Oryctolagus cuniculus: one gene and its partners. The main gene of each other region encodes a partner of the protein of the gene in region 3 in a complex. Links are inferred from orthologs where the notes say so. Each region holds a gene or a part of one and is shown on either strand. Other genes may lie near its edges.

Region 1 (4,036 bases), on a different chromosome or scaffold from region 3:
GGCGTCCTCCCCAGTGCCCCGGTCTGCTCGCGTCCAGACCCTGCTCGGAGGCCGCCCCGGGTCTGCGCCGGGGTGTCCGCCGCTCCCGCGGGTCTCTCCCTGGCCGCCCCGGCCCCGACCCCCAGCGCGCGCCCTCAGCCGCCTCGGTTACCCGGCGCAGCGCGACCTCCGGGCTTCCCGCTCCGGCGGCTCCCTCCCCGGCTCTGAGCGGCGGCGCCCTCCCCCGCTCGGCCGGGCACAGCCGCAGCTCCCTCCCGCGGCGGCAGCGGCTCCTCCTCCGGGCGCGGTGGCGGCGCTGGGGCGGCGGCTGCTGCTGCTGCTGTGGCGGCGGCGGCTGTAGCTGCTGCCTGCTGCTCCTCGCGGCGAAAAGCACAAAGCACAGCGCCCTCCGCCTGCAGGCAGCCCGCCCGCCGCCCGCCCGCCGGCCCCGGCCTCAGCTCGCACACCCCCCGCCGCCGCCGCAGCCTCCGCCGCCGGAGCGGGGAGGAGGAGGGAGAAGGGAGGAGGAGGAGCGGGAGGGGGGGCGGGAGAAGCGGGGCAGCGAGCGCGTCCTTCCCCGTAGAGCGCACACCGACCCCCGGGGAGCGAGCGCCAGCCCGCCCGCCTCGCCGGCTCCGCTCCCTCCCACAGCCTGCCCGGGCGGGCTCCGCGGGGGGCAGCTGGGAGGAGGGGCGGGAGCTGGGGGGACCCGGGCGGCCGAGGCGGAGGGAAGGAAGGAGGGGAGGGGGGTGGTGGTAGTGGTGGTGGTGGTGGCGGTGGCGGCGGCGGCGGCTGCTGCTGCTGCTGCCGCCGGGGAGGGGGGGGGGCCGGGGCAGGGAGACACGCAGCCGCCCGGATGGCGGCGGGGCTCGGAGCCGAGGCGGGCGGGCGGGCGGGCGCCGAGAGCGACCTCGCCAGACCCGCGGGGGAACTAGCAGGCTCGGCCGGCGCGGGAGGGAGGGCCGAGGCGCGGCCGCGGAGAGGGTGCCCGGAGGGCCCCCCGGCGGCCGAAGAGGCTCGGGGGTGCCCGCAGTGCAGCCCCGGACCTCTCCTCCACGGCCTCCCAGCCCAGATCCGGCCTTCCAAGCCGGCCCTCTCCCGCCTCCCGGCGCGGGCGGTTCGCGCCCACCTTCCCCAGAGCGTGGCTACTCGCTCGGGGTGCCGATCGCGGTGCCAAGCTTCGGCGCCTACTTCGCCGCCGAACGGCACACGCGAAACTCGAAAAGCAAAATATCCTTGCCAAGGGGGAAAAAGAAATTCCCTTCGCTCCTTACACCCAGGAAGCGGCGAGGAGCCACGGTGGGAGCCGGTTCAATCCAGCCCGGCATGGCTCCCCAGGCCTGCCTGGGCGCATGGAGATCGGCGGCGCGGCCGCTCGGAGCAACCCCTCTCCCCCGAAATCCGTGGCGCCGGGGCTCACTTACCGAGCGTGTGGATGGGAGCGCGGGCCGGGGACACCTGGGGGCGCGGCGGGCCGGAGAGCCGAGCCGCAGCTCCGCCGCAGCCGACTCCGGGGCAGCGAGTCGCCAGACAAAGCCCGAGATGGCGAAGCGGAGCGACGGCTAATGGCGAGCCCCACGCGCCGCGCTCCGCCCGCCCCGCTCCGCCCGCCCGCCTCGGCGCAGCGCAGCGCCGCTCCGAGCGCTCGCCCGTCAGAGCCGCCTCGGCGCCGCCGCCTCCCGGGCCACCGCGGCCTCGCCTGGCCCCTCCGCCTCCTCCGGGTGGCTCAGCCTCACCCCTTCCCTCCCACCGCTCTCGGGGCTGCGCGAAAATTGGGGGGAAAAAAAGGAAAAAAATTTTTTTCCTCTTTTTTTTTTTTTTTTTTTTTTGCAGGGCGGGAGTGCGGAGACTTTGGGTCTTTTTGCCCCCAGCTCGCACTCACCTGCGGAGCCGCCGGGAGGGCCGGGGGTGGGGGCGCGCGGGGCTGGAGCCGGCGAGCGCGGGTTGAAAGCCAGCCAAGCTCTGCAGCGCCCGACCCGGGCGTGTACGCCGCCGCCAGTCCCCGCAGAGAAATCGTCCTCCTACCCCCGCCTCCATCGCTCTGCGTTTCTCTTCCAATCAGCCGGTCGCTTGGCGGCTCCTCCATTCTCCGGCCAAGCCCGCTGCCTAGAGCGAGCTCCACTCCTCCATCTGCTCGCCCGGCTCCTCGCTCCCCTGCCGGGGCCGGCGAGGCGCCGTGGGGCGGAGGGGGTTTTGCGAGGGAACCTGCCCGCTCCCCGCTCCCAAGGCTCCGGCCCCGCCGCCGCCCGCCTCCTGCTTCTCTCCTGCGCCTTTCCAACTCTCCCCTGTCGCCACTGGCGTGTGTCTGAGTGTGTGCGCGGTTTTTCTTTTTCTTTTTTCTTTCCTTTTTTTTTTTTTTTTTTTATTGCTCTTTGCTTTTGCAACCCTGAAGCCAAAGCGAGGGGGAAGTAAAGGGGGGGGGGTGTTATAAAAAAAAAAAAAGAAAGAAAAGACAGAAAGAAGCTCTTAGATGAGCCATCTCGGAAGACCGGAGCGGCAGCGCTCCTCGCCCGACCTCCGAGCCCCGCGGGGCCGTCCCGGGTTTGGAGCGAGCCTCCTTCCCAGCGCCCCCCCACCTTCGCCGGGCTGAGGATACGTGGAGTCCGAGCAAAAAGTTCTCCCCTCGGGTCGTCGTGAGGGGTGGCAGGGTGGGAGCTGGGAGGTTTCCAAAGCAGCAGCAGCCGTCTCTCCTACCCGGCTTCGGAAGTGGGCCGGGGTGGGAAGCGAGAGCCAGGTCCCGGCGGGCTTACGCGGAGAGGCTTCCGGGGGCCCAGTCGGTACCGGAGGCCGCGCCGCGCGCATCTCCCCCTCGCTCGCCGCCGCCTGTCCCCTGCCAGCTCCCCCTTTAATTTTTTTTTTCCTCCTCTCCCTTAATCTAATTTCTTCCAACTCCACCTTTGTTGTTACCGGCGTCACGCCCGGACCAGCCAATCCCCGCCACGCAATCAGCTTGTCAAAAAGGCTCGACCAGCCCGGGGAAAGCAGGCCGCGGGCGCTGCCCCCCGGCGGCGGTGGGGAGCCGCGAGGGGCGCCCGGCACCCGGGCCGCGCGGGCCGCGCAGAGCGTCCGGCCTCGGCCTCCGCTGCCGGCGCCGGGGTTGTCCGACTTTGCCTTCTTAGCTCCGGGGAAGTGTTCTCAGGGCAGGACGCAGGGAGCCCGCGGACAGCCGAGGGCGCTGGCTTGCGGCAGGCCGGCCCACGGCTTGGCCCTTCGTCCGGGACAGCGCCATGACGCCTGGCTCCCACCCCGGCCCCGCCGCTGCCCGCGTCTTGTTCCGCTGCGTCCCCGGGCCCCTGTGGGCTCTTGGCTGGCGCGCAGCCTCCCTCCCTCCTCGCACGGGCTCTCCGCCGCGGTAATTCCTCCTGCCTCCTGGGAGAGATGAGATTCCTTTCCCAAGACTCCTGCCACGGTTCTCGCCTCGGGAGGAGGGCGCCGCCGGGATCTGGTGTGTCTGGGTTTTTAGCGGGCAGGACATGAGGAAGATGCAGACTGACCATCATGCGAATGAAGTTGAAGCTTTAAGGCCTGTGCAAGACCTTGGACTTGACTTTGCATCCCGTAGTTGGTTCTTTTTTATTTTTTTGGTTAAAGAGCACTCCGACCTCCACAGTTCACCTGCAGGCCCTCACACTTGATCTGCCTTTGATTCACTCTGGGGACATTTTATGCAGGATCAAGCCATCTCAGGCTGCACCGAAATCGGGGCATGGAACCAGTTGCTATTTCTGACAAAGGCTTTGGGATCAAAAGTCCTAACTTTTTTTTTTAATAGTGTGAGTGTTTGGGCAAGTTTTAACCCCACCTGATCCTAGTTTCCGTATCTGTGGAATGACAACAGCAGCCTCACCAGGCATCCGAGGGTCAATGGGAGAAACCTAGACCCCCAAGAAGGTTCCAGATCTGCCACACGCAGGTCTGGAGTCCAGGTGTCTTGGCTCCTGGCCCTGAACTTCTTGGCTGGGTCAAGGGGCTTTTCGGTAAAGTGCTTCGGAATAAAGCAGGATGAACGTGAATCATAAGAATGCTTGTTATTGATTCCTTGGGCAGCAGAACTGCT
Region 2 (4,075 bases), on a different chromosome or scaffold from region 3:
GAGAAGCACTGGCTCAGCTCCTCAGCCGCTTCCCCTTCTATGGGTGCAAGCAGGGTAATGTCTGGCAGGAGCCTGTAACTGGCTGTCGCCACTGGTGAGAACTTGGCGTGGTCCTTGCCTGCAGGGAAGGGAGAGATCAGCCTGGGGGAATCCTCTCCCGAGCCACTGAGCGCGAAAGCCCAAGCCCACCGCCTTCTGCCGGTCAGGAGCATCCCTGGATTCCTGCGGCGACTAAGCTACGCCCTGCACCTGAGGCGGCCCACGGGTCTCACCGATGCCCTTGACACAGTGCATGAGCAGGTCAATCTCTTGGCCAGGTCGCAGCTGGGCAATGAGGATATCATCGTGCACCGGCCGGATAGTGCCCTCAGGGAAGAGGTCAGCCTGGTTCCCCAGGGGAACCCACGTCATGTGCCTGGTGTACACTGGAGGGAAGACAAGTCAGAGGGCTGTAGCCCCGAGACGCCCCCACAGCCAGCAGCCAGGCCTCCCTCCTTGCCCACTAACCTTTGTGATTCACATAGAGCTCGTTGGGGTCAGAGGAATCTTTAGCAGCGTGGGGGTTCCGAGTGCACCTGACCTGCAGCCGAAACTGCAGAGTGTCTATCTCTGTGCCCTCGTCGTCCCCTGCACAAAGGGAAGAGGCGGCCCTTACAGCAGCAGTGAGCATCAGGGTAGACACTGCCGAGTGCTACCCGTGTGCTGCTCCTCTCGTCCACAGATGATGAGTCACTTGCCCAGGGCCACAAGAGTCAACCCAGGATTCGAACCCAGGCAGCTGGTCCCAGGATCTACTAAGGAAGAAAGCGGTTCCACTTCCCCCAACAGCTTCATCTCCCAGGCCCTCACCTTGGTTCCGATATTCAAACAGTCGTGGATCAGCATGAATGGGAATGAGCCCCAGGCGGTGAGCCAGGATCTCATCCTGCACGATGGATGTGTTGTTGTACACCAGTACCTTCTCCACAGCCATTGTGGGCACCTACCCAGAGACCAGGATTACCCGTCTATAAAAACCCGGCAGACTCCCCACCTCCTGAGATGGACAACTCCTAGAAGAATGCCTCATAAAAACTTAAAGCAAAACACTCCACAAAATCGGGGGGGGGGGGGGGGGGCAACTTGAGACACTGACAGATGAGGTGATGGCACACTTCCCCACGCTCCAGCCGTCACCGGCCCCGCTGATACCTCCGCCAGCAGAATTCGCCGGAAAGCATTGGCAATGGCCGCATCAATTCCCACCATGTCAAACTCCAGCGAGTTTTCATCCATGTGTACCACATCCACGCGGAAGTTCTAGAGGCAAAGGAAAAACAAGTGGATGGAGCCTGCTCTTGGTGTGACCTGGCTACAGCTCCCCCTTGACACGGAACATCCCCGCTCCCCCAGAAGCCTTCCTCTGCCCAGCAAAGCCTCATTTGATGTTTTCTTCCTCTGTTCTTTTAGTTTCTTGAACAATGCCCCCAGTTTTGTATGCCACTAGTTGAAAATCCTATGCAATATGGCTTGAGCCAGAAGCTATTCTATGAAGAGCAGAAACTTCTATACAGTTTAGTCCAGCTGACAGGACTCAGTTCTTTTCTTACTAATGTTACATTTGGCATTGAATTAAAAAAAAAAAAAAAAAAAAAAAAAAAAACTCCTTTCTCAAACCCCATCTCCTCCGTGTCTGGGCACCAGTCCTCCATCTGAGGAGTTGCGTCTCCTTCCACCCACCACCTAGGTGTTACCGGTCCCCAGCTTCTTGTCTCTCTCCAAAGTGACATCAACCACACTCACGGTTTTAGCAACTACTATGGACAACTCCCCACATTCTGTCGAACGCTCTCCTGGGCTGCTAGCTCCTCCACACCGCGGGGAACCGAATGGGTCATCGTTCCCACTGCCCAGGCACCGCCAGCCGTCAGATGAGTTCCCACAGCCAGAAAGTCCTGACCGCTCTCACCAAAGCACTCCTGGGCTCCTTCCCCCAGCACTGCCTAGCGATCTGCCCGCCCCTTCTCCTCCTTCTCAACCACCAAAGCTGCAAACCGGATCACCTGGTCACGCCTGCTCAAGAACCCCCAGTGCCCGCCGTCAGGCCAGTGTAACATTCTATCAATAATGCGCGGTTCGGACATTCTAGGGACACGCCCACCCCGTCTTTACAAGTTAGCTCGCTTACTCCTCCCTCCTCGACCTTCACTCACCGTTCAGGGCTCAAACTCAGATGTCACTTCCTTCAGGGAATCCTATGATTCTGCCCCAGTCTAGACCGTCTCTGAGGGGTGCCCCACCCCCACTCTCAGCCGCCGTCACCGCATCCAACTAGAATGACCTGTACAGGCCTGAACAGCTCGATCGCAGAACAAGGCAGAAGCCCGGTGTGCAAGGAGCGCCCAGGACACGGTCGGATGCTGAGCAAACTTGGTTTTGCCACGTGAGTGACCCCTGGGAGCAGCTCGGAAGCCCGGGCTGCTCCGATCACACTCCGGCCCCACGCACCTTCTCGAAGCGGTCCTGATCCCAGGCATCATCATAACCGGAATAGTTCCCGGGGAAGTCGGTGGTATGAACCTAGAGATACGGGTCCGTCCGTGAAGAGGCAGCGAAGCCAAGCCCGCCCTCACTTTGATCCCGACCCGTCCCTCTCATACTTCCTTCTGAACTCAAGGCCACAAGGCTTACATTCCGAACTCCGAACTCCCCTAAAACCACGCGGCTCCGCATTTCTTCAACGGCCTGAGCCGCCGCCATCTTCGACTTCCCCCACGAGACTAAGGCCTCACGCCTGCGCGTGCGTTCTAGCGGCTTTCCTCCGTCGCCGTGGCAACGCACCGCCTCCCGGAGCCCGACGTATCGCGAGACTTTGCCCCGCCTCCGTCCACGTCCCCAACTTCCGGAAGTCTGTCTGGGCCAAACATCCGGGTTTCTCTTTTTTGCGTTCCGGCTGGTGGCGCCTGTCCTCGGCCCTGGACGTCTCCGTGCCTCAGGCCCACGTCTGCCCCCTCTTCCTCCGCGCGCGGGGCTAGCGCTGGCTTCGGGGACGGGAGCCCTCCAGGGACATGGCAGCCACCGCGGCGCCGGCCGGCGGCGCTCGAAACGGGGCCGGCCCGGAATGGGGCGGGTTCGAAGAAAACATCCAGGTAATGGCCCCAGCGCTTCGGCTGCCGGCCACCCCGACGTGTCTGGGGAAGCCTCCCTCGGGGCCCGAAAGCTTCCTCCATTTGCAACACTCCTCTCCCCTTTGGGTCTTCGTGCACGGGAAAGTCAGTGAAGCTAGTGCCGGCCGGAGGGCCTCGGGTCTCTGGACGCGCCTGAGGCGTTAGGAAGAGAGACAGAAGAGGAGGTCAATCGGGGTCAAGCGGGGCAGTGGGCGGGATTCGCTGGCACTCGCCAGAAACATCTTGTGTGCATGGTCTTGCTTGCGCCTTGCAAACCCTCGGGGCCTTTGATGGGGAAGGTGGGGAAAAGGCATGAGCGGAAGACAAGTAGGTGGCTTCTCGGGCTAGAGGAGAGCGCCGGAACCAGCAGCCAGGGGGTTCTGAGAGAAAGTGAGGGGTGACAGTGGCCTGATGTGCGGGGATTCGGAGGCGCGGCGCCAGCAGCGGGGCAGGGACCAGAAAGGCCTGCACTGTAGGAGGCATTGCCTTCACAGGGTGGGGGCTCTGCCGTGATTGACATGGAGAACATGGATGACACCTCGGGCTCCAGCTTCGAGGACATGGGTGAGCTGCACCAGCGCCTGCGCGAGGAAGAAGTGGACGCCGACGCGGCCGCTGCGGAAGAGGAGGATGGGGAGTTCCTGGGCATGAAGGGCTTTAAGGGGCAGCTGAGCCGGCAGGTGGCTGACCAGGTAAGCGGGGCTGAATCCTTGGCAAGTGCAGGATACCTGCGCGATCTGGAGTCGTGTGGGTGACCTTGACCTCAGGCTGCCCCAGTTGGAGCCCAGTAGAACCCCGACAGAAGCTAGGGAGCAGGACCCCAGGGCCAGGAGCCTCACGGGCCATCCCCGCATCTCCGCTCAGATGTGGCAGGCCGGGAAGAGACAAGCTTCCAGAGCCTTCAGTTTGTATGCCAACATCGACATCCT
Region 3 (4,203 bases):
GCAAACACACTGCTACATTCTGTACCAAAGACACTGGAAATTTCACAAACATCTCATGACACAGTGATTTCCAAGGAATTTATTTAATTAGACTTTCAGAGGGCTCTAAAAATCTGCATTTTTCACAAAGACCCCAGATGATTCTAGGTTCTGCTTGCAAGCATAGTTTAAGAAAGTAATTTTAACCTTCATTTGTGTCACATTACATAAACAATAAAATTAAATTATAAGTCATGTAATCTAACTTCTTTACATTAAAAGATACCTAAATACAATATGGTTCAAAATGAAATCATACGTAGTTCAAAAAGATGCTAAACCAAAAGCCATACAACAATGAGAAACATTAACAGCAAATGCAAGTACAAATGAAGATATTCCTCTGAATGCACATTTCAACGCGCATCAAAGACCACCACTGTATTCATCTGAGTTAAGGAAAAAAAAAATGTAGTTGAAAATTACAGAAAAAGACTGAAGACTTCCAAATCACTTTACATGTGCAACAAGCTAGTTTGTTAATTTAAAATGCACAAAGACCTGGAATTCACTATTTATTACAACAACTAGATATAAAGTAAATAAAAGCTTTCAATTTTTATTAGCACTTTTCCCAACCAATGAAAAAAAACCCAATGTATCAAAAAGCACTGAATGCTAAAGGTAATAACTTGTGATTTTAAAAAAGTTATGTTAGAAAATTACAACTCACTCTCAGTGTTTAGTCTCATGTGTTGGCTCCACTTTTTCCTACTAAGTAGCATACACAATATTTGTATTACTCCTTGTATAATTTATTTGTCAAGCTGAACAATCAGTTCTTATGTAAATACAGAATCTCTGGAAAATAAACTTATGAGAATCAAAATCAACTAGTATTTCAATTATTTAGTGCTTCAGTTCTTGTCTATGAAAAATGCTAATAATATCTCTTTAATTAATCCAAAGTTCTTACGGTTTCTACCAGAAGTAGTGTCTATCAACCCCTGCATCACTCTACAGTTGGCTCCTACCTCAGATTTTAAAAGTAGAGTTAAAGGATACATCTTTTTGTCCTTTTCTTGTACATTATTCTGTATCCACATTCTCTGCATCTGATTGGATCCCTGGATTTTATTTCATTTTCAGTGTGACATTCTAGGGAGAAAAAAAAAAAAAAGGCTTACTCAAATTTAAAAGGAAAACAGTGCAGACAGGCAAATTATCTTAACCATATCAGGCAAGGGTATGATATTACAAAATATACTAAATGGGAAAGAAGAGAGTTGTGGGCAATGCTGTTTTTCCAGAGCAAATAAGAGTTTTAAGTGGTGCTACGAGGCGCTCCTTTATAACTTTAAACACCAATGACTCATTCATTCAAAGGATAAATGTAATAATTTCAAAAACAAATTAAGCAAAATACTCTTACTTTATGTAGCGTTATCCTTACCTCCACAAATATATATCATTGGCTGCTGCTTTGGGGGCTGAACGTCTTTCTGGGCGTCCATTGTCAGTCCCTGCAAACACAGAATCAAATCCTCAGTATTTCAAAGGGGTTCCTCACAAACCCGAACAGCCCTCCCTCCCCTTGTTTTTTCAGGAAAAACTGAAAGAGATCCCAGTTCCCCCTCATCTGCGCTCTTCTCCGTGCCTGGGAGTTAGGTCTAAGGGGCAAACCACACAGACACACACAAGTACTGAGAGTCGACCCCAAACTGGGCACGACAGAAAATGATCCGCATTTTGTTCCTTCATTATAATCTTCACAACAACCCTCAAGTGTCACTCCTGTTTTATACACGAAGAAAGCGAGGCTGAGAGATACTAGTTTGCGCAGGCAAAAGGATTCAGATTCGGCTCAAAACTCGAGTTCTCATCTAACACATGAATATCCCTCCAAAACGGAACAGACTAACCGCCGGGAAGAATACTAAAATAATTCCCAATGGCTAAACAGCTCAACTAAAAGAAACCAGGCAAAGCACTGACGGCACCAACTCCTCCACCAGCATCTCCTGACTCTAACCTCGCACTGGACCTTCTTAGCCCCCAAGTGTCTTTCTGGTTTGGCTCAAATACCCACACCTAAACCCCAGCCCCATAACTCCTTACCTGCGTAGAACGGAGAAACTCCGCATCTGCTCCCAACACGCAGTGTCGCTGTCAACTTCCGGCGCTGGCTTGTGACGCAAGACGAGCACCGCCCCTTCCGCCCCGGCCCGGCCCGGAAACCGAGTTTGCGCAAGACTCTAAAACTAGTTTCTTGCTCGCAACGGACTCTGTGGACATCAAGCACATTTTTTAACACTTAGCTATTCTCATTTTTCAGGAAAGAAAATCATTTTAACAGTTCTTCAAAGGAAGTTTGTATTTCTGACTCGTGAGATTGGCGGAAATGAACGCTTTTCCGGAAGGACCGAGACTAAGAGGGACGGAGGTGACAAGTGCCGGTGGAATCCTGAACGCGCCGTTCCTCTGATGACTTAGACTCGGTTAACCAGTGATTTTTTTTTTTTTTTTTTTTGTTACCCCGTAGAAAAGCACATTCTAGGCTGTTTTCAGGTTGTTGGGTACCTGTGCTGGGGCTGTGTGCCAGCCGCCTCCCGTCCTTGTCATGCTTGATCGTGTTTTTGCTCTCCAGCCCTTTGCTTCTCCCTCGCCTCCACGCCTGTTACTCGTTTTACAGTGCAGGCGCACCTGCGGGGCAGCGCCCTCGACACCTCGCACTTAAAGCTAAAGGATTTTGGTAGCTTTAGCGGTTCACTGGCCCTCCCTTGGTCCCATGTATTCCTAGGAGAAAAAAAAAAAAAAAAAAAAAAGACGTGCTTGTGGGAGTTGCATTCTTTCAAAGAATATTCAGTGGCATAAATGCCGATTAGATTCGAACATTTACATTCATTTACTTCTTTCACAAAAGATATTTTACTTAGAATAGAAGCAGAGCTAAGAAAATGAAATTATTACAACTTTATAGAAATAATTAAAGATTTATTTATTTGAAAGTCAGAGTTACACAGAGAGAGGAGAGGCAGAACCAGAGAGAGAGGGGACTTCCATCTGATGGTTCACTCTCCAATTCGCAGCAACGGCCGGAGCTGCCCGATCTTAAGCCAGGAGCCAGGAGCTTCTTCCTGGTCTCCCATGTGGGTGCAGGGGCCCAAGGACTTGGGCCATCCTCCACTGCTTTCCCGGGCCATAGCAGAGAGCTGGATCAGAAGAGGAGCAGCCAGGACTAGAACCGGCGCCCACATGGGCTGCTGGCGCTTCAGGCCGGGGGTTAACCTGCTGCGCCACGGCTCTGGCCCCAGAAATAATTGTTAACAGTTATTATAAAGTTAATTGTAGAAGCAGGCTTGCTTCCCCCACATGCACTGTGTCTTTGGTATCTTATTAAGTAGGACTCCATCCATCAACTTGAGAACTTTAGCTTCACCTTTCATTTCCAGAAGTTAAAACTGTGTGGTTGCATCTCCACAAACCAACTTGAGACATTCAACTGGGATTTCCCTGTCTTTCCAGGGGGCAGGAGTTTGGCCTAGCCCAGCTCCACTTCTCAATTCCAGCTTCCTGCTGATGGCCGTCCTGGGAGGCAGCAGTTTCTGGCTCAAGTACTTGATTCCCTCCCACCCACATGGGAGAACTGGATTAAGTGACTGGCTCCTGATTTCAACCAGGGCTGTTGTGTGCATTTGGGGAGCGAGCCAGCTGATTCACTCTCTGCCTCTGTGCCTCTGTAATAAAATAATAGTATTAGGGCCAGCATTGCAGTGTGGCAGGTAGGGCCACTGCCTGTGACATCAGCATCCCATATGGGCAGTGGTTCAAGTCTCAACTACTTCTCTTCCAATCCCACTCCCTGCTAGTATGCCTGGGAAGGCAGCAGAGGATGGCCAACTGTTTGGGCCCCTGCACACACGTGTCAGATCCAGAGGAGGCTCCTGACTCCTGGCTTTGGTCTGGCCAAGTCCTGGCCAGTGAGGCCATTTGGGGAGTGAACCAGTGGATGGAAGACACCTCTCTCTCTCTCTCTCTCTCTGCCTTTCAAATAAATAAACATTTTTAAATGGAGATTTTCACATAAAAAATCAAATATTTTTGGGGAAACAGCAATTTCCTGCTTCTTCCTCCACAAACATGCTAACACAGCATACATATGACCATCACCCCTGTTACAATCAAAGAGAAGCAGTCATTCAATACACGAGTCGCAATAGGCTT
Region 4 (3,500 bases), on a different chromosome or scaffold from region 3:
AACAATAACAATGAATTGAGGTTTTATCCCAGGTAATCTACCGCTGTCATAGCAACAAACCGCTTTCCAAAACTGGGCAATAAAGAGGGGTGAAACAAAACGCACTGAGTTGCTACAACTTGACCTTGGAAACACTGAAGCACTAGCAGCTTGAAGCCCAGTTAGCTCTTGATGTGTTTTTGGTTTGAGCTTGGAGAGACAAGGGTTGCAGACAGCAGAGGAAGTAGAAAGGATTAAAGCCGGGTTTCCTAACCTCAGTACTGCTGGCAATGGGGCTGGATCATTCTTGGTTGCTGGGGCTGCACTGTCCATGGTGAGAAAGGGTTTAGCAGCATCCCTGTAATCCACTCCCAAATTGTGACAGACAAAAACATTTCCAAACATCACCAAATGTCCCCTAGCGGGTAAACGGCCCTGAGTGAGGAGTAAATCCAGAAAGAATAACGGAGAGAAAGGTCTGGAGGATAGAACAGGACCAAAAGTACAAACTAATGTCTGTTCAAAATAGCAGTAACTTTGCTAAGAATCAAATAAAAAATTAATTACCTTTATGTCTGGATCTGACAGCTGGTTCTTCAACAACTCAAAGTCATTTGTTTCACCCTTAACAAGAATGGGGAGAAAATGAAGTTTTGGTTTCCTGTTAAATATCAACAGCAAGACTTTTATACTTTAACATTTGATGAAATTACAAAAGGAGCATTGTGGGGCGGGCAGATGGCCTAGCAACTTAAGACACTGGTTTAGATATGCATATCCCCATCCCATAGTGGCGTACCTGGGTTCAACACCAGCTCTAGATCCTGACTCCAACTCCCTGCTAATGCAGACCCTGGGAGGCAGCAGTGATAGTTCAAAAGGGTTCCTGCCACCCGAAAAGTAGACAGACCAAGATTAAATTCCTGCTCCTGGCTTCAGCCCAGTCCTGACCACTGCAGGCATTTGGGAAGTAAGCCAGGGGATGGAAGCTCACTCTCTCTCGGCCTCTCAATTTTGAAAAATAACATTCTATGTTTCATCCATCAGTTGCAGATTATGAATTCATGACCACAAGTTTTTTAAAGATTAATTTTATTTGAAAGGCAGAGTTATAGAGAGAAGAGATAGAGAGATCTTCCATCTGCTGGTTCACTCCCCAAATAGAAACAATAGCTGGGGCTGGGTCAGGCAAAAGCCAGGAACTTCATCCAGGTCTCCCACATGGCTGCAAGGGACCAATACCTTGAGCCAGTTTCTGCTGGTTTCTCAGGCACATTAGCAGAGAGCTGGATTAGAAGTGGAGCAGCCAGGATTCGAACTGGCACCCACATGGGATGCCAGCATTGCAGATGGCAGCTCAATCCACTGTGTTATAGTGTTAGCCCCAGGACTACAAGATTTTAAAAGGCAGGCCAGCATTGTGGCACAGGGGGTTAAGCTGACATCTGTGAAGCCAGCATCCTACACCACAGTACTTCAAGTCTCAGGCTGTCCCACTTCCTGTCTTAGTTCCCTACCAATGAGCCTGGGAAAGCAGTGGAAGTTGTCCCAAGTACTTAGGCCCCTGCCACCCACATGGGAGACCTTGCTAGAGTTCTAAGCTTTTGGTTTTGTCCTGGCCTAGCCCTGGCCATTGCAGTCATTTGGGGACTGAATCAGCAGATGTAAAATCTCTTTTTCTCAGTCACTCTGCATTTCAAATAAATAAATCAAACAAAAAATTTTAAATGCACGTTAGTGGAGCCAGAGGCTTGGAAAAAATAAACAACTATAAAGCCTTTTATATTTAGTTGCATTTGTTTATGATAGTCCATACTCCCGAGTTTCAAAAAATGAGAAGAAAACTGAACAGGTGACAGCTCAAGTAGATTGGTCCCTGTCACCAACATGGCAGACCTACTTTTGAGTTATCAGCTCCTGCTAGCCCCAGCCATTGCAGGCATTTGAGAAGTGAACCAGCAGATGGGAGCTCTATCTCTAATAAGTAAAATAAATAAATTTATTTTTCAAAGGAAAAAAAAAACCTGCTGCAGGTTAGGCATTTGAAAGGCACAGCATTTAAGTCGCTGCTTGGGATTTACACATCCCCGTCAGAGCGCCTGGGTCAAGTCAGGCTCTTCTGCTTCTGATCCAGCTTTCTGCGACGTGCATCTGGAACACAGCAGATTATGGCTCGAGTGTCTGGGTCTCTGCCACCTTGGCTTTGTTCGGGCCCAGCCCCAGCTATTGCAGGTATTTGGGGCAGTGAACTAGGGGATAAGATATTTCTCTGTGTTTTTCTCTCTCTCTCTTTCAAATAAAATGAAAATACATTTTTAAAGAATATAAAAAAAATTTTTTTTGACAGGCAGAGTGGACAGTGAAAGAGAGACAGAGAGAAAAGTCTTCCTTTGCCGTTGGTTCACCCTCCAATGGCTGCCACGGCTGGCGCACCGCGCTGATTCGATGGCAGAAGCCAGGTACTTATCCTGGTCTCCCATGGGGTGCAGGGCCCAAGCACTTGGGCCATCCTCCACTGCACTCCCGGGCCACAGCAGAGAGCTGGCCTGGAAGAGGGGCAACCAGGACAGAATCTGGCGCCCCGACCGGGACTAGAACCCGGTGTGCCGGCACCGCAAGGTGGAGGATTAGCCTAGTGAGCCGCGGCACCGGCCAAGAATAAAATTTTTAAAAACTAAAAACAAACTGTTGTGATGATCTAATTTTGGGAACTAAGACAGGATCTATTCACATGCATGGACATAAGTGGATATTATATATAAATGTACAGTTATGTACGTTTTCTCCTTACTGCTGAGATTTGGTAGGATTACTTGTAAGCTAACACAAAAACAAATAAACAAAAATGCTTATGTAATTCCTTAAGAAATAAAATCTTCTAATGGCTTTTTATTGGAGCAGTTGCTAAAGTCTTAAAAATATTGTGAAAAGGGGCCACCACCTACAGTGCCGCCATCCTGTATGGATGCCAGTTCAAGTGGCTGCTCCACTTCTGATCCAGCTCTCTGATATGGCCTGGGAAAGCAGTAGAAGATGTCCCAAGTGCTTGGGCCCCTACACCGACATTGGAAATCAGGAACAAGCTCCTGGCTCCTGGCATCAGATCAGCCCAGATCCAGCCAGTTCAGCCATTTGAGGAGTGAACCAGCAGATGGAAGCCCTCTGTCTTTTTCTGCTTCTATCTCTCTGTAATTCTGCCTTTCAAATAAATAAATAAATCTTAAAAAAAAAAAAAAAGATACTATGTAAATAAAGCATTTGAAGAGGAGAAACCTCAGAAAAGACATTATCACTCTCATTTTGAGCATAAGGCTTCATGCAGTTTTTTATTTCAATACTGGTATCTCACATTTTAGTGTATCTACTAGTCCTGAACAAAATGCTAGAATAACTGTATTCTGACCAACAAAAACCAAACCTCCTCTTACCTTTTTGTATTTCAGTAAGACTTCTGTTACGGTTCCACCAAATCGGACAGTTTTTCTTGGAGGAGAATTGAAGAAATCATTCTCTAATGCAAG
Region 5 (3,500 bases), on a different chromosome or scaffold from region 3:
GGTGTCCATCAGATGACTAGATAAAGACAATGTGGTACATATGCCCAGTGAAATATTATTCAGCTATAAAAAAGAATGAAGTTCTACCATTTGAGCAAAATAGATGCAAGTGGAGGATACTGTGTTGAGTGAAATAAGCCAGACACAGAAGGATAAATATTACGTGTTCTTCATTATGTGTAGGAGCTAAAATTAAAGAGGAAAGAAACCCCAAAATAAAAAATGCCTGTGTGTACCAGTATTGCTGCAAATACAGTTTGTAAAACTTTGTTTTATACCTCTGTCAAACCAGTGGTTAAAAATGTTATACCACGGGTGGGCATCATGGTATAGGGGATACAGCCACTGCCTGTGGCGGTGACAGCCCACCCACGTGGGCACTGGTGCATTTCTTGGCTGCTCCACTTTCTGTCCAGCTCCCTGCTAATGACCTGGGAAAAGCAATTGAAGATGGCCCAAGTGTTTGGGCCCTTGCCACCCATGTGGGAGACCTGGAAGAAGCTCCTGACTTTGGCTTGGTCCTGGATGTTGGGCCATCTGGGGAGTGAACCAGTGGATAGAAGATCTCTTTTTCCTGTCTCTGGAACTCTGACTTTCAAACTAAATCTTCAGAAAAAAAGTTATACTACTGGCCGGCGCCGCGGCTCACTAGGCTAATCCTCCGCCTTGCGGCGCCGGCACACCGGGTTCTAGTCCCGGTCGGGGCGCCGGATTCTGTCCCGGTTGCCCCTCTTCCAGGCCAGCTCTCTGCTGTGGCCAGGGAGTGCAGTGGAGGATGGCCCAGGTGCTTGGGCCCTGCACCCCATGGGAGACCAGGAAAAGCACCTGGCTCCTGGCTCCTGCCATCGGATCAGCGCGGTGCGCCGGCCGCAGTGCGCCGGCTGCAGCGGCCATTGGAGGGTGAACCAACGGCAAAGGAAGACCTTTCTCTCTGTTTCTCTCTCTCACTGTCCACTCTGCCTGTCAAAAAAAAAAAAAAAAAAAAAAAGTTATACTACTATAATTTTAATGACCCGTGGTTATTTTAAAATTTACCATATATGGGTAAAATGGTCATTTTTCCATTCAATTGTTTATAGCCATTGTCTCTATTCCTGCTAAACTAGGATCTTTTTGCTTTAAAAAAGAAAAAAAAATTATTTGAAAGGCAGAGTTACAGAGAAGGAGAGACAGAGATCTTCCATCCTCTGGTTTACTCCTGAGTGGCTGGGCCAGGCTGAAGCCAGGAGTCCAGAATTCTGTCTGGTTTTCCCATATGTGTGGAAGGCCCAGACACATGAGCAGGGACTGGATCTGAAGCAGAGTGGCTGGGACTTGAACCCGTGCTCATGTGGGATGTTGGCATTGCAGGTGGTGGCTTAACCTGTACACAATGCCAGCCTTACTAAGTGTTTTTTGGGTTGATGAATAAGTGAGTAAATGTAAATGCCGGAGAACTAATAATAAATTGTAATTTTATTTGGGAAGGAACTTGTTGATCTTTGGATTTGGCATATAGATTTGAGTGACTTGAATTTGTCTTACAGATATTTTATTCTTTACAGCATTATGGATCCAAGCTTGTTGAGAGAACGGGAGCTGTTCAGAAAACGAGCTCTTAATACTCCTGTAGTGGAAAAGCGTTCAGTATCTTCTGAATCATCATCCTCATCATCGAAGAAGAAGAAGGCAAAGATAGAACATGGAGGATCATCAGGCTCTAAACAAAATTCTGGTTAGTAAAATTGTATAGGACTCTTAGGGTTTTCATGTTTTTTTTTTTTTTTTTCCCCCATTTGTTTTGTTTTTAGATTTATCTATTTGAAAGATAACGTGAGGGAGAGACAGAAAAAAATCTTCTATCCGTTGATTCACTCCCCATGTGGCTGCCATTGTCAAGGCTGAGCTAGGCTGAAGCCAGGAACCAGGAACTCCATTTGGGTTTCCCACGTGGACGTCAGGAATCCGCATACCTGGACTGTCTTAATGCTGGCTTTCTAGGCACATTAGTAGGGGACTGGATGGGAAGTGGAGCAGCCGGGGCTCAAGCTGGTACTCCCTTGTGGAATGCTAGCATTTCAGGCTGTATCTTAATCCACTTTCATCCCAGTGCCAGGCTCCCCCCCCCCCCCCCCCGTTTTTATTTTTTAGAAAGGCATTTAGTTATGATGAGTTCATTTTTCAGTTCTAAGTTAGTTTTTTTTAGATACTTTGTTAAATATAAGAGATGGGGCCGGCGCCGCGGCTCACTAGGCTAATCCTCCGCCTAGCGGCGCCGGCACACCGGGTTCTAGTCCCGGTCGGGGCGCCGGATTCTGTCCCGGTTGTCCCTCTTCCAAGCCAGCCCTCTGCTGTGGCCCGGGAGTGCAGTGGAGGATGGCCCAGGTGCTTGGGCCCTGCACCCCATGGGAGACCAGGAAAAGCACCTGGCTCCTGGCTCCTGCCATCGGATCAGCGCGGTGTGCCGGCCGCGGCGGCCATTGGAACAGTGAACCAACGGCAAAGGAAGACCTTTCTCTCTGTCTCTCTCTCTCACTGTCCACTCTGCCTGTCCAAAAAAAAAAAAAAAAAAAAAAAAAAAGAGAGAGAGAGAGATGGGATGATAAGAAAATTTAAGCTCTTAAAGTGTTAATAGTCTCATATTATAGTTAAGATTTAGGTTATTGTTTCTTAAGGGCTGGACATTTGACCATTATCAAAGATTCCCAGTTCAAGTACTTAACTTTTCTACCTCCAATCTAGTTTCCTTCACATCCTGGGTGGCAGTGGATAATGACTCAACTACTTGAGTCCCTGCCACCTAGGGAAACCTCAGTGGCATTCCTGGCTCCTGGTTTCAGCCTGGCTCAGCTCTGGTTATTGAAGGCATTTGGAGAATGAAGTAGCAGATAAAATCTGTTTCTGCCTTTCAAATCAACTGAAAAAAAAAATTAGCTTTAAAAAACTTGAGGTTTAATATATATGCCATATGGTTCACTCATTTTAAGTGTACGATTCAAATATTTTTAGTAAGCTTACAGTTGTGCAGCTAGTACTACTGTTTCATTTTACACTATTTCCATCACTTCCTAAGGATCTTATGTGGCCATCTGCAGTGACTGTTCTCACTTCAATCCCAGATAACCAATAATCTACTTTCTGTCTATGTTTATTTACCTTTCTGGACATTTCCTATAAATAGAATTATATAATTGATGGTCTTTTGTCTGTAGCTTTTTTTTGCTTAGCATTCTTTTTGTGTTTCATCCATGTTGTAGTCTGTATTAATACCTTATTTCACTGCTAGAATATTCAATTGTAAGAATATACCACAATTTATCTGTTCATTGGTTAATGGACATTGGGATTATTTCGACTTTTGGGCTGTTTTGAATAATGTTGCTATGAACATTCCTGTACATGTCTTAACATAAATGTATGTTTTTGTTTCTTTTGGGTAGATACCTATGAGTGGAATTTCTGGATCACATGGTAGATCTTTGTTTAATTTTTTTTTTAAGATTTTTTTTTTTTTGAGAGTT
Region 6 (4,139 bases), on a different chromosome or scaffold from region 3:
GGGACACAACCAGAGTGCGCCACGTGAGCAGAGCGCGCCCCTGGCCAGGCCCTGCGCAACGCCAGTCTCCGAGCGCCTCGGTCCGCCCTCACGACCACCCTGCAGTCAGCGGGAGCTCCGACATGGCTTCACTGAAGAGACGGAGCCACAGGGAGCCCAGCTGTCAGCGCGGCGAGGAGCGGGGACGTGGAGGCCAACAGCCGGCTCTAGACTGCGCGCCTGTGACCCTGACCCAGCAGGGAAGCCCCCTTCCGCACCGGCCGCTCCGAGTCCCGCTTCCTCTGCCCTCCGCTCAGGAGACCTCGTCACCTGCTCCGGGAGCCCCAGAGGACCCTCCGCCGCCCGCCAGCCCGAGACAGCTCAGCACAGACACTCGGTAGGGGGAGGGGCCCTCGCAGGGGGCCACCCTGAGCCTGCCCTGCTACACCGTCTCTCCTGACCGATGAGCCCCCGAGGGCTCAGCCCCACCAGCCAGCTCGGGACTCCGAGGACCCGGCCAGAGTCCCGGCTGTCTCCTGCCCCTCCTCACCTTGGCGTCCTGGGGCTGGGGCTCCGGCAGGGTCAGCGCGTCTCTCCAGCTGCACATGAACGACAGGTCGGGGCCGTCGCTCAGCCCCAGGGGGCCGGTGGTAAACGAGGTGGGGCGGAGGCAGCCGGGGAAGTCCATCCTGGAAAAGAAGCGCCGGCCTTCGCAGCAGACCTGCACCCGGCACTGGCCAGGACCGGCGCGGCCCAGGAGGCACCGGCCTCCGGGCTCCCCGGGGAGGACCAGGTGACACAGAGCAAGCGCGCGTGCAGCCCTGGCCCGAGGAGGGCTACGTGCCTTACCGGACGGTGGACAACCAGCCTCCCGGCCCGGAGGAGGGGCGTGCCCGCAGCCAGGTGAGCCTCCTGAGGCCAGCGACAGAGCCTGACCCCAGGGAGGGAGGCAGCCTGCGGAGAGCTGCCAGGGGCCCTGGGCACTGTCTGAGGGACACCTTGGCGAGCGGACGAAGGAGGAGGAGCGGGCCGGCTGCTAGACGCCCTTGGGCCTCCGGTCACACACCTGCAGACGCCTCCCCTTCGGCTCAGTCCCAGGACTACGCCAGGACCGAGCCCAGCAGCCGCCCCCGGCGCCTCCCGGGCGCGTACTACGCGTTGACCGAGAGCAAGTCCGTGGCAAAGGGCTTTGAGAGGCCAAGGTTCCCAAAGCAGCAGCCGCCACCTCAGCCCTCTCTTAATGAACACAGCACCACAGCGAGAGCAGCGCCCCCACACCTGGGCCCGCGGCTGCACACGTGGCGCCAGGCCCCTCCCTCGTCCGTGTCCGGGCGCGGGGACCCGCTCAGGCCAGCAGCTGCCCGAGCGCCGGAGCCACGCCGCAGCTCTGCGCCTCACTCTCCGGCGCCCAGGAGCAAACGCCGGCACGGGGCCTTGGCAGGAACCCCTTCCTGCAGACCAACTCCCAGCGGGCTTCATCAGTTCACCGCGCGCCCCGGGGCGGCCAGGCACCCTCAGCACCGCGCACACGGCCCGCCGCGCAGCGCTGGGGAACCCTTGCCCGTGGAATGAACAGCTGTTCCTCGGGGCCTGTGCCGGCCCCACTGTTTATCCGGGCACCGGCATGGGCGTCTCCGAGGGCAGGTGCTGGGTCTGTTGCCACCGTCACTGTTTGGGGACAGGAGCCGCCAGTGGCGGGAACGGTGGAGGCACCCACTGCAGGCACCAAGCCCCCAGGCCTCCCGGGGAGGGGGAGGGGCTGTATCCCTGACGGGTCAAGGGTCACACACAGAGAAGCCTCCTGCTCATGTCTGGTGCCTGGGCTCCAACCACACTCCTTAAGGCTCTGCCTCACCACAGGGCCTTTGCACATCCCCTCTCCAACTGCGCGCCAGGGCCCGCCCTCCCCACCTCAAAAGCCTGGATTTCCAGTCCAGGAGCCTCCCTTAACCCCTTCAATTCTGTTCTCCCCCAAACACCCGCTGTCCTGCCAGAGCGGGTAGCAGCCTGTGGCAGATACGTAAGGATGCTCGGGTAGGTGTGGCGAGCGGTAAAACCGCCCCCTGCGATGCTGGCATCCCACGGGGGCGCCGGTTCGTGTCCCGGCTGCGCCACTTCCAATCCAGTTCCCTGCTCGTGCCCCTGGGAACGCTGTGGGAGATGGCCCCAGTCCTTGGGCCCTGCACCCACGTGGGTCGAGACCCGCAGGAAGCTCCCGGCTGCCGATCGGCCCAGGCCTGGCTGCTGCAGCCGTCCGGGGAGAGAACCAGCGGATGGGGACTTCTCTAACTTTCAAATAAACAAGATGAGCCTCCCACAGCTCCCAGGGAAGGCAGGCTCTCACTCCAGCGCCTAGGGCATACCCACAACATCGCACACAGAGCCGAGAACAAGCGGGGGCGAGAGGAGCCGCGCGGCGCCAGACAAGCCCGGGCAGCCCGAGGGCGCCCACGACCCCCGCCAGGCCCCCGCCAGGCCCCCGCCGGGCCCCCGCGCGCTGCCCGCCGGCCTCCCGCCCCGCCGGGCCTGCAGGAACGCCAGGAGGGCACCGCAGAGCCCAGGCCGCCGCGGCGGTGGGAGCCGGACGCCCCTCCCCTCACTCGCCGGCGCGGCCCCGGCCCCCCGACACCCCGGGCCTGCGCGCACACACTTACGTGGCTCAGCTGGGGCGGGGTGCCCGGGAAACGGGGCGCCGCGCGACGCTCGCCAGACCCTCCCGCCGCGAGAGAACCCGAAAGCGTCGCTCCAGCTACCGCGCTCACGCCGGGACCCGCCACACAGAGGAATGAACGGTCTTCCGGGTCTGGGCGGAAGTGTTCCCAGGGAGACAGGAAGTCCCGCCTCCCGGCCCGGCTCCATGCGCGCTCTAGAGCACCACCTCTCGGGAGGAGAGGGAACAGCGCACTGCATTGAAAATACTAAAACCCTATGGAGCCTCAATCCTGGATACTAAGATGAGTGGAGTTCGAATCCCGCCTCTGCTTCATAGACTTCCTCTGTCTGTCTGCCTTTCTTTCTCCCTCTCTCTACCTTCCTTCCTTCCTTCCAGATTTGTTTATTTGAAAGGCAGAGTTACAGAGAGAGAGGAAGAGAGAAAGGTCTTCTATCTTCAGGGTCACTCCCAGTTGGTTGCAATGGCTGTGATGGCGCCAGGCCAAAACCAGGAGCTTCTTCCGGGTCTCCCATGTGGGTTCAGAGGCCCAAGGACTTGGGCCATCTTCTGCTGCCTTCCCAGGTGCATTAGCAGGGAGCTGGATGGGAAGAGGAGCAGCCGGGGTTTGAACCTGTGCCCATAGGGGGAAGGTGGCATGGAAAGCAGAGGTTTTACCTGCTAGGCCACAGCGCCAGCCCATGGGCTCCCTGTGTCCCAGGGTTAGTCCATCAGCTCAGCAAACACGAGCACCTACTACGCATCGGGCCCCGTCTGGGTCAGCAGGTGTCCTGCCGATTGTCCTTAAATCCTCGTCTGAGTGCCCCGGGAGTACCTGAGGCTTTCCCAGGGCCGGTCGGGCAGGGACGGCCTCAGGCAGCCGTACTCACACTGCAGGGCGGCAGCTGGGGTGCACTTCAGTACAGTTGGTGGCTGGGTCTGGTAACCTTGCCCGTGGGTTCCCAGGTGCCGTGGGGCCTTGCTTGGACAATCACCGTCAGTCACAAGTCTGAGCCCATCACCCTCCCCCGTGGGTCTCCCCCCCAGCGTGCATCAGGCTCACCTGGAGGCCTTGTTGGGTGGCTGGCCGGCTGCCCCCAAGTTTCTCATCCATTGGGTCTGGTGCCTTTCCAACAGATCCAGGTGACGATGATGATGGTGCCGGCCCAGGGACTACACCTACGGAAACACTGCTTTGAACAATCGATTCCCAGGTTCTCAAAAGCCCTCAGAAAACGTGTCCTGTGAAAAAACTATGCATGGATTTGTGTGTGTGTGTGGACAAATTATTTTGCTTTTATGTTGAAGTTATTCCTACGCATTTTTTATAGTATTTTATTTTCAGATTTATTAGTTCACTCCCCCAAATGGCCGCAACGGACACGGATGGGCCAGACTGAGGCCAGGAACTTCTTCGGGTCTCCCACATGGGCTCAGGGACCCAAGCGCTTGGGCCACCTTCCACTGCTTTCCTGGTCATAGCAGAGAGCTATGGGCACCGGGTTCAAGT
Region 7 (3,360 bases), on a different chromosome or scaffold from region 3:
TCCCAGTCCGGCTTCCTGTGAGTGCAGACCCTGGAGGCAGCAGTGGCGGCTCAGGTACCTGGGTCCCGGCCACCCACGTGGGAGGCCCGCATGCAGTTCTGGGCTCCTGGCTGCTTTGAGCCTTTGTGGAATGAACCAGTAGATGAAGCCCTCTCTACCCCTCCCTCCATCTCTCCAATACAAGGAAAATGAATAAAATTGACGACTTAGCCTATCCTGGCCTCCCTTGGAGCCTTTGGGCAGTTGGTGCCAGGACCCCACCACAGACCCCCAAAGCCATGGACACCCGAGTCCCTTCCGTAAAGGGCTTAGTGTTTCCCAGGAGCTGCACACCTTTCCCTGTGGACGCTGGCATCTCTAGGCGACTTACAGGCCCTAATGCGAATGCTGCTGTACCGTCAGATTGATTTCTTTATTTGAAAGGCAGAGTGACACACAGAGAGGTCTTCCAGCTTTGCCAAATGGCCGAAACAGCCAGAGCTGGGCCAGGCTGCAGCCAGGAGCCAGAGCTCCATCCGGGGCTCCCACGCAGGTGCAGAGCGCTTGGGCCACCTTCCACTGCTTTCCCAGGCCACAGCAGGGGGCTGATCGGAAGTGGACTCAAGTGTCGCCAGCGGCCGCCTGACCTGCTGGGGCCACAGCGATGGCCCCAGTTCTTTTTAATCATTAGAGATTTTTTTCCCTGTAACTAGTCTGGAAATAATCGCAGGTTTTCGAGAGCGGTAGCGGTAGACCACGACCGGGTTGCTGCGGTTCCCGGGGCACCAGCACCCTGCGGTCGACTGGCGCTGAGCACCCGCCGCTCAGCGTGGGGGAACTGCAGGGTGGGTGTTCCCGGCCCGGGGCCCAGCCCACCCGAGGCAGGCACCCCAGGAGCCGTCGCCTCCTGCTCCCCCAGGCGCGGCTGGAGCGGGACTTGAGCAACAAGAAGATCTACCAGGAGGAGGAGCTGCCGGAGTCGGGCGCGGGCAGCGAGTTCAAGCGCAAGCTGCGGGAGGAGGCGCGCCGGAAGAAGTACGGCATCGTGCTCAAGGAGTTCCGGCCCGAGGACCAGCCCTGGCTGCTGCGGGTCAACGGGAAGGCCGGCCGCAAGTGCGTGCGGGAGGGCGCGGGAGGGCGCGGGGCGGGCGGTGGGGCGCGGCGCTGCCCACGCGGGGCGCGCGGGAGGACACGGGGCCGCTTGTGCGTGCGGGAGGGCGCGGGGCGGGCGGTGGGGTGCCGCGTTGTCCACGCGGGGCGCGCGGGAGGACACAGGGAAGCTGGAGCGCAGCGCTGCCCACACGGAGGGGGGGGCGCGGGAGGTCATGGGGCCGCAAAGGGACAAGAAAACGGGTGTTCTTTAGGTGGAGCCAGGGGTCTGGCACCCGCTAATCAGTGACACCTGCAGATGCAGGGACCTGCCCTTCTGCCCTCCCACCCAGCCCTGTGCACTTAGTGGGTGCCCTCCCTGACCCTGCTTCCCACTGCTACCGTGTGGTCTCAGGGCACCTGTGTGACCGGCCCTGGAGGGGCAGAGGGGCAGGCTGAGGAAGGGGGAGCTGGTCGCTCAGGGAGGGGCTGTCAGGGTGTGCCGGGGCGGGCGGTGGGGTGCCGAGTTGTCCACGCGGGGCGTGCAGGAAGACATGGCGCCGCAAGTACGTGCGGGAGGGCGCCAGGTGGGCGGTGGGGCGTGACGCTGCCCACGCGGGGCGCGCGGGAGGACACGGGGGCGCTGGGGCATGGTACTGCCAGTGCGGGGTGTGCGGGAGAATGGAGGACACGGGGGCTCTGCCCGCGCGGGATTGTTCTCGGCACTGCACCGGAAGCCCTGAGCCCCCACGGCCTAGCAGAGCTGCACGGGAAGGGAGATGGCCGGGAGGCAGGTGCACAGGCCTTGGGGGGGCACCCCTGTTCTGACACCCACTTACCAGCCAGCCTCCAGCCAGCACTCCTGGATCCCCTGGGGGTCGGGGGGCTCACTGAGGCGGCCGCCTCCCCTCTACCCTGTCTTTTAAAGGTCCCCCACCTCCCACACGTGATCTTAGGGGACACATTTAACCCACATCCGGCGCAGCAGTGGGGAGTGGGGGTGCCAGCCTGGGGACCTGCCCTTCTCCCCTCCCACCCAGCCCTGTGCACTTAGTGGGTGCCCTCCCTGACCCTGCTTCCCACTGCTACCGTGTGGTCTCAGGGCACCTGTGTGACCGGCCCTGGAGGGGCAGAGGGGCAGGCTGAGGAAGGGGGAACTGGTCGCTCAGGGAGGGGCTGTCAGGGTGTGCCGGGACCTGGGCCCACAGGGCCCTGGGTGGCCGGAGCACACTCAGAGGCGTCCGGGCATGGGGGCGGGACTGGGAGGGTGGGGGCCAGCAGGCACCCCAGAGGAGATGGGGGATGCCGGTGGGGCCGGGTCTGGTGTCCTGGGCCGGGCAGTGACCGAGGCTCCCCGCAGGTTCAAGGGCATCAAGAAGGGTGGCGTGACGGAGAACACGTCCTACTACATCTTCACCCAGTGCCCCGACGGGGCCTTCGAGGCCTTCCCTGTGCACAACTGGTACAACTTCACGCCGCTGGCCCGGCACCGCACGCTCACGGCCGAGGAGGCCGAGGAGGAGTGGGAGAGGTGAGCGGGCCTGGCGGGCCTGGGCGGGCCAGGGTGCACAGCCACACGCATGACCCCGGCTGCAGGCCAGGCCCCGGGCTGGGAGCTGGGATGGGAGGGGGGGGATTGGGGGAGGGCTGACATCAGTCCACCCTCACACGGCTCGTAGTCCAGTGTGGGGCAGCACGGACAGAGCTGATACGCGCAGGGCCGGGGGTGGCCGGGCAGGGTGCTCCAACAGCACGTGCCCCACCCACCCCACCCCGTCTTCCCCAGGCCTGCAGGACCAGCCTGGGGGCTCCCCTCCAGCAGCTTCTGGGAGGGGCCTCTGAGGCCCTGGGGACGGTGGGCATAGTTAGGGGCACGTGGGCTGAGGGACATGGCATCAGGCCAGAGCCCAGAGCACTTTAAATGCCCATCTGAGGATGTGACTTTTTTTTGTAAGATTTACTTATTTGAAAGGGAGAATTAGAGAGGGAAAGACAGAGAGAGATCTTCCATCCTTTGGTTCTCTCCTCAAATGGCCCCAGTGGCTGGGGCTGGGCCAGGCCAAAGCCAGGAGCCAAGAACACCATCTCTGCCACCTGGGTGGCAGAGACCCAAGTCCTTGGGTCCTCTGCTGCCTTCCCAGGAGCATTTGCGGGCAGCTGGATCAGAGGTGGAGCAGCCGGGACTGGAACTGGAGCGTGTGTGTGGCCACAGGGCTGGGCCCCGCCTCCCTGGGGCCTCTGCGGTGACACAGGCCACAGATGCATCTGCAGGTGTCCCCGGCGCCCCCTACT

The links.
Region 1: POLR2K (region 3) and UBTF share a complex: the UniProt entries of both Homo sapiens proteins name them as parts of the pol I pre-initiation complex. The link is inferred for Oryctolagus cuniculus from reciprocal best matches to the Homo sapiens genes POLR2K and UBTF.
Region 2: POLR2K (region 3) and POLR1C share a complex: the UniProt entries of both Homo sapiens proteins name them as parts of the pol I pre-initiation complex. The link is inferred for Oryctolagus cuniculus from reciprocal best matches to the Homo sapiens genes POLR2K and POLR1C.
Region 4: POLR2K (region 3) and RRN3 share a complex: the UniProt entries of both Homo sapiens proteins name them as parts of the pol I pre-initiation complex. The link is inferred for Oryctolagus cuniculus from reciprocal best matches to the Homo sapiens genes POLR2K and RRN3.
Region 5: POLR2K (region 3) and GTF2E2 share a complex: the UniProt entries of both Homo sapiens proteins name them as parts of the TBP-based Pol II pre-initiation complex. The link is inferred for Oryctolagus cuniculus from reciprocal best matches to the Homo sapiens genes POLR2K and GTF2E2.
Region 6: POLR2K (region 3) and TAF1C share a complex: the UniProt entries of both Homo sapiens proteins name them as parts of the pol I pre-initiation complex. The link is inferred for Oryctolagus cuniculus from reciprocal best matches to the Homo sapiens genes POLR2K and TAF1C.
Region 7: POLR2K (region 3) and GTF2F1 share a complex: the UniProt entries of both Homo sapiens proteins name them as parts of the TBP-based Pol II pre-initiation complex. The link is inferred for Oryctolagus cuniculus from reciprocal best matches to the Homo sapiens genes POLR2K and GTF2F1.

Annotation. Positions count from the first base shown.
Region 1 is NC_091448.1:19,038,723-19,042,758, reverse strand, and holds the start of UBTF (nucleolar transcription factor 1), read right to left. Parts: upstream 2,801-4,036; 5' UTR 2,556-2,800; intron 1,992-2,555; exon of another isoform or gene 1,862-1,991; intron 1,543-1,861; exon of another isoform or gene 1,404-1,542; intron 341-1,403; coding exon of another isoform or gene 1-340. Other genes in the region: basic salivary proline-rich protein 2-like, read left to right, coding at 1-340. UniProt on the Homo sapiens protein: Recognizes the ribosomal RNA gene promoter and activates transcription mediated by RNA polymerase I (Pol I) through cooperative interactions with the transcription factor SL1/TIF-IB complex.
Region 2 is NC_091436.1:126,548,517-126,552,591, forward strand, and holds the start of POLR1C (DNA-directed RNA polymerases I and III subunit RPAC1), read right to left. Parts: upstream 2,801-4,075; 5' UTR 2,740-2,800; coding exon 2,671-2,739; exon of another isoform or gene 2,640-2,670; intron 2,560-2,639; coding exon 2,488-2,559; intron 2,191-2,487; exon of another isoform or gene 2,124-2,190; coding exon of another isoform or gene 2,043-2,123; intron 1,300-2,042; coding exon 1,192-1,299; intron 983-1,191; coding exon 850-982; intron 628-849; coding exon 508-627; intron 426-507; coding exon 273-425; intron 119-272; coding exon 1-118. Other genes in the region: protein YIPF3, read left to right, coding at 3,048-3,128, 3,641-3,838, 4,011-4,075. UniProt on the Homo sapiens protein: DNA-dependent RNA polymerase catalyzes the transcription of DNA into RNA using the four ribonucleoside triphosphates as substrates.
Region 3 is NC_091437.1:125,592,326-125,596,528, reverse strand, and holds POLR2K (DNA-directed RNA polymerases I, II, and III subunit RPABC4), read right to left. Parts: upstream 2,801-4,203; 5' UTR 2,098-2,800; intron 1,503-2,097; 5' UTR 1,494-1,502; coding exon 1,433-1,493; intron 1,138-1,432; coding exon 1,045-1,137; exon of another isoform or gene 1,014-1,044; intron 419-1,013; coding exon 396-418; 3' UTR 65-395; downstream 1-64. UniProt on the Homo sapiens protein: DNA-dependent RNA polymerase catalyzes the transcription of DNA into RNA using the four ribonucleoside triphosphates as substrates.
Region 4 is NC_091450.1:18,578,551-18,582,050, reverse strand, and holds part of RRN3 (RNA polymerase I-specific transcription initiation factor RRN3), read right to left. Parts: coding exon 3,408-3,500; intron 604-3,407; coding exon 547-603; intron 1-546. UniProt on the Homo sapiens protein: Required for efficient transcription initiation by RNA polymerase I (Pol I). Required for the formation of the competent pre-initiation complex (PIC).
Region 5 is NC_091433.1:80,680,211-80,683,710, reverse strand, and holds part of GTF2E2 (transcription initiation factor IIE subunit beta), read left to right. Parts: intron 1-1,544; 5' UTR 1,545-1,548; coding exon 1,549-1,714; intron 1,715-3,500. UniProt on the Homo sapiens protein: Recruits TFIIH to the initiation complex and stimulates the RNA polymerase II C-terminal domain kinase and DNA-dependent ATPase activities of TFIIH. Both TFIIH and TFIIE are required for promoter clearance by RNA polymerase.
Region 6 is NC_091449.1:65,920,049-65,924,187, forward strand, and holds the start of TAF1C (TATA box-binding protein-associated factor RNA polymerase I subunit C), read right to left. Parts: upstream 2,801-4,139; 5' UTR 2,634-2,800; intron 669-2,633; 5' UTR 668-668; coding exon 530-667; intron 1-529. UniProt on the Homo sapiens protein: Component of the transcription factor SL1/TIF-IB complex, which is involved in the assembly of the PIC (pre-initiation complex) during RNA polymerase I-dependent transcription.
Region 7 is NC_091447.1:60,706,499-60,709,858, reverse strand, and holds part of GTF2F1 (general transcription factor IIF subunit 1), read left to right. Parts: intron 1-898; coding exon 899-1,092; intron 1,093-2,428; coding exon 2,429-2,599; intron 2,600-3,360. UniProt on the Homo sapiens protein: TFIIF is a general transcription initiation factor that binds to RNA polymerase II and helps to recruit it to the initiation complex in collaboration with TFIIB. It promotes transcription elongation.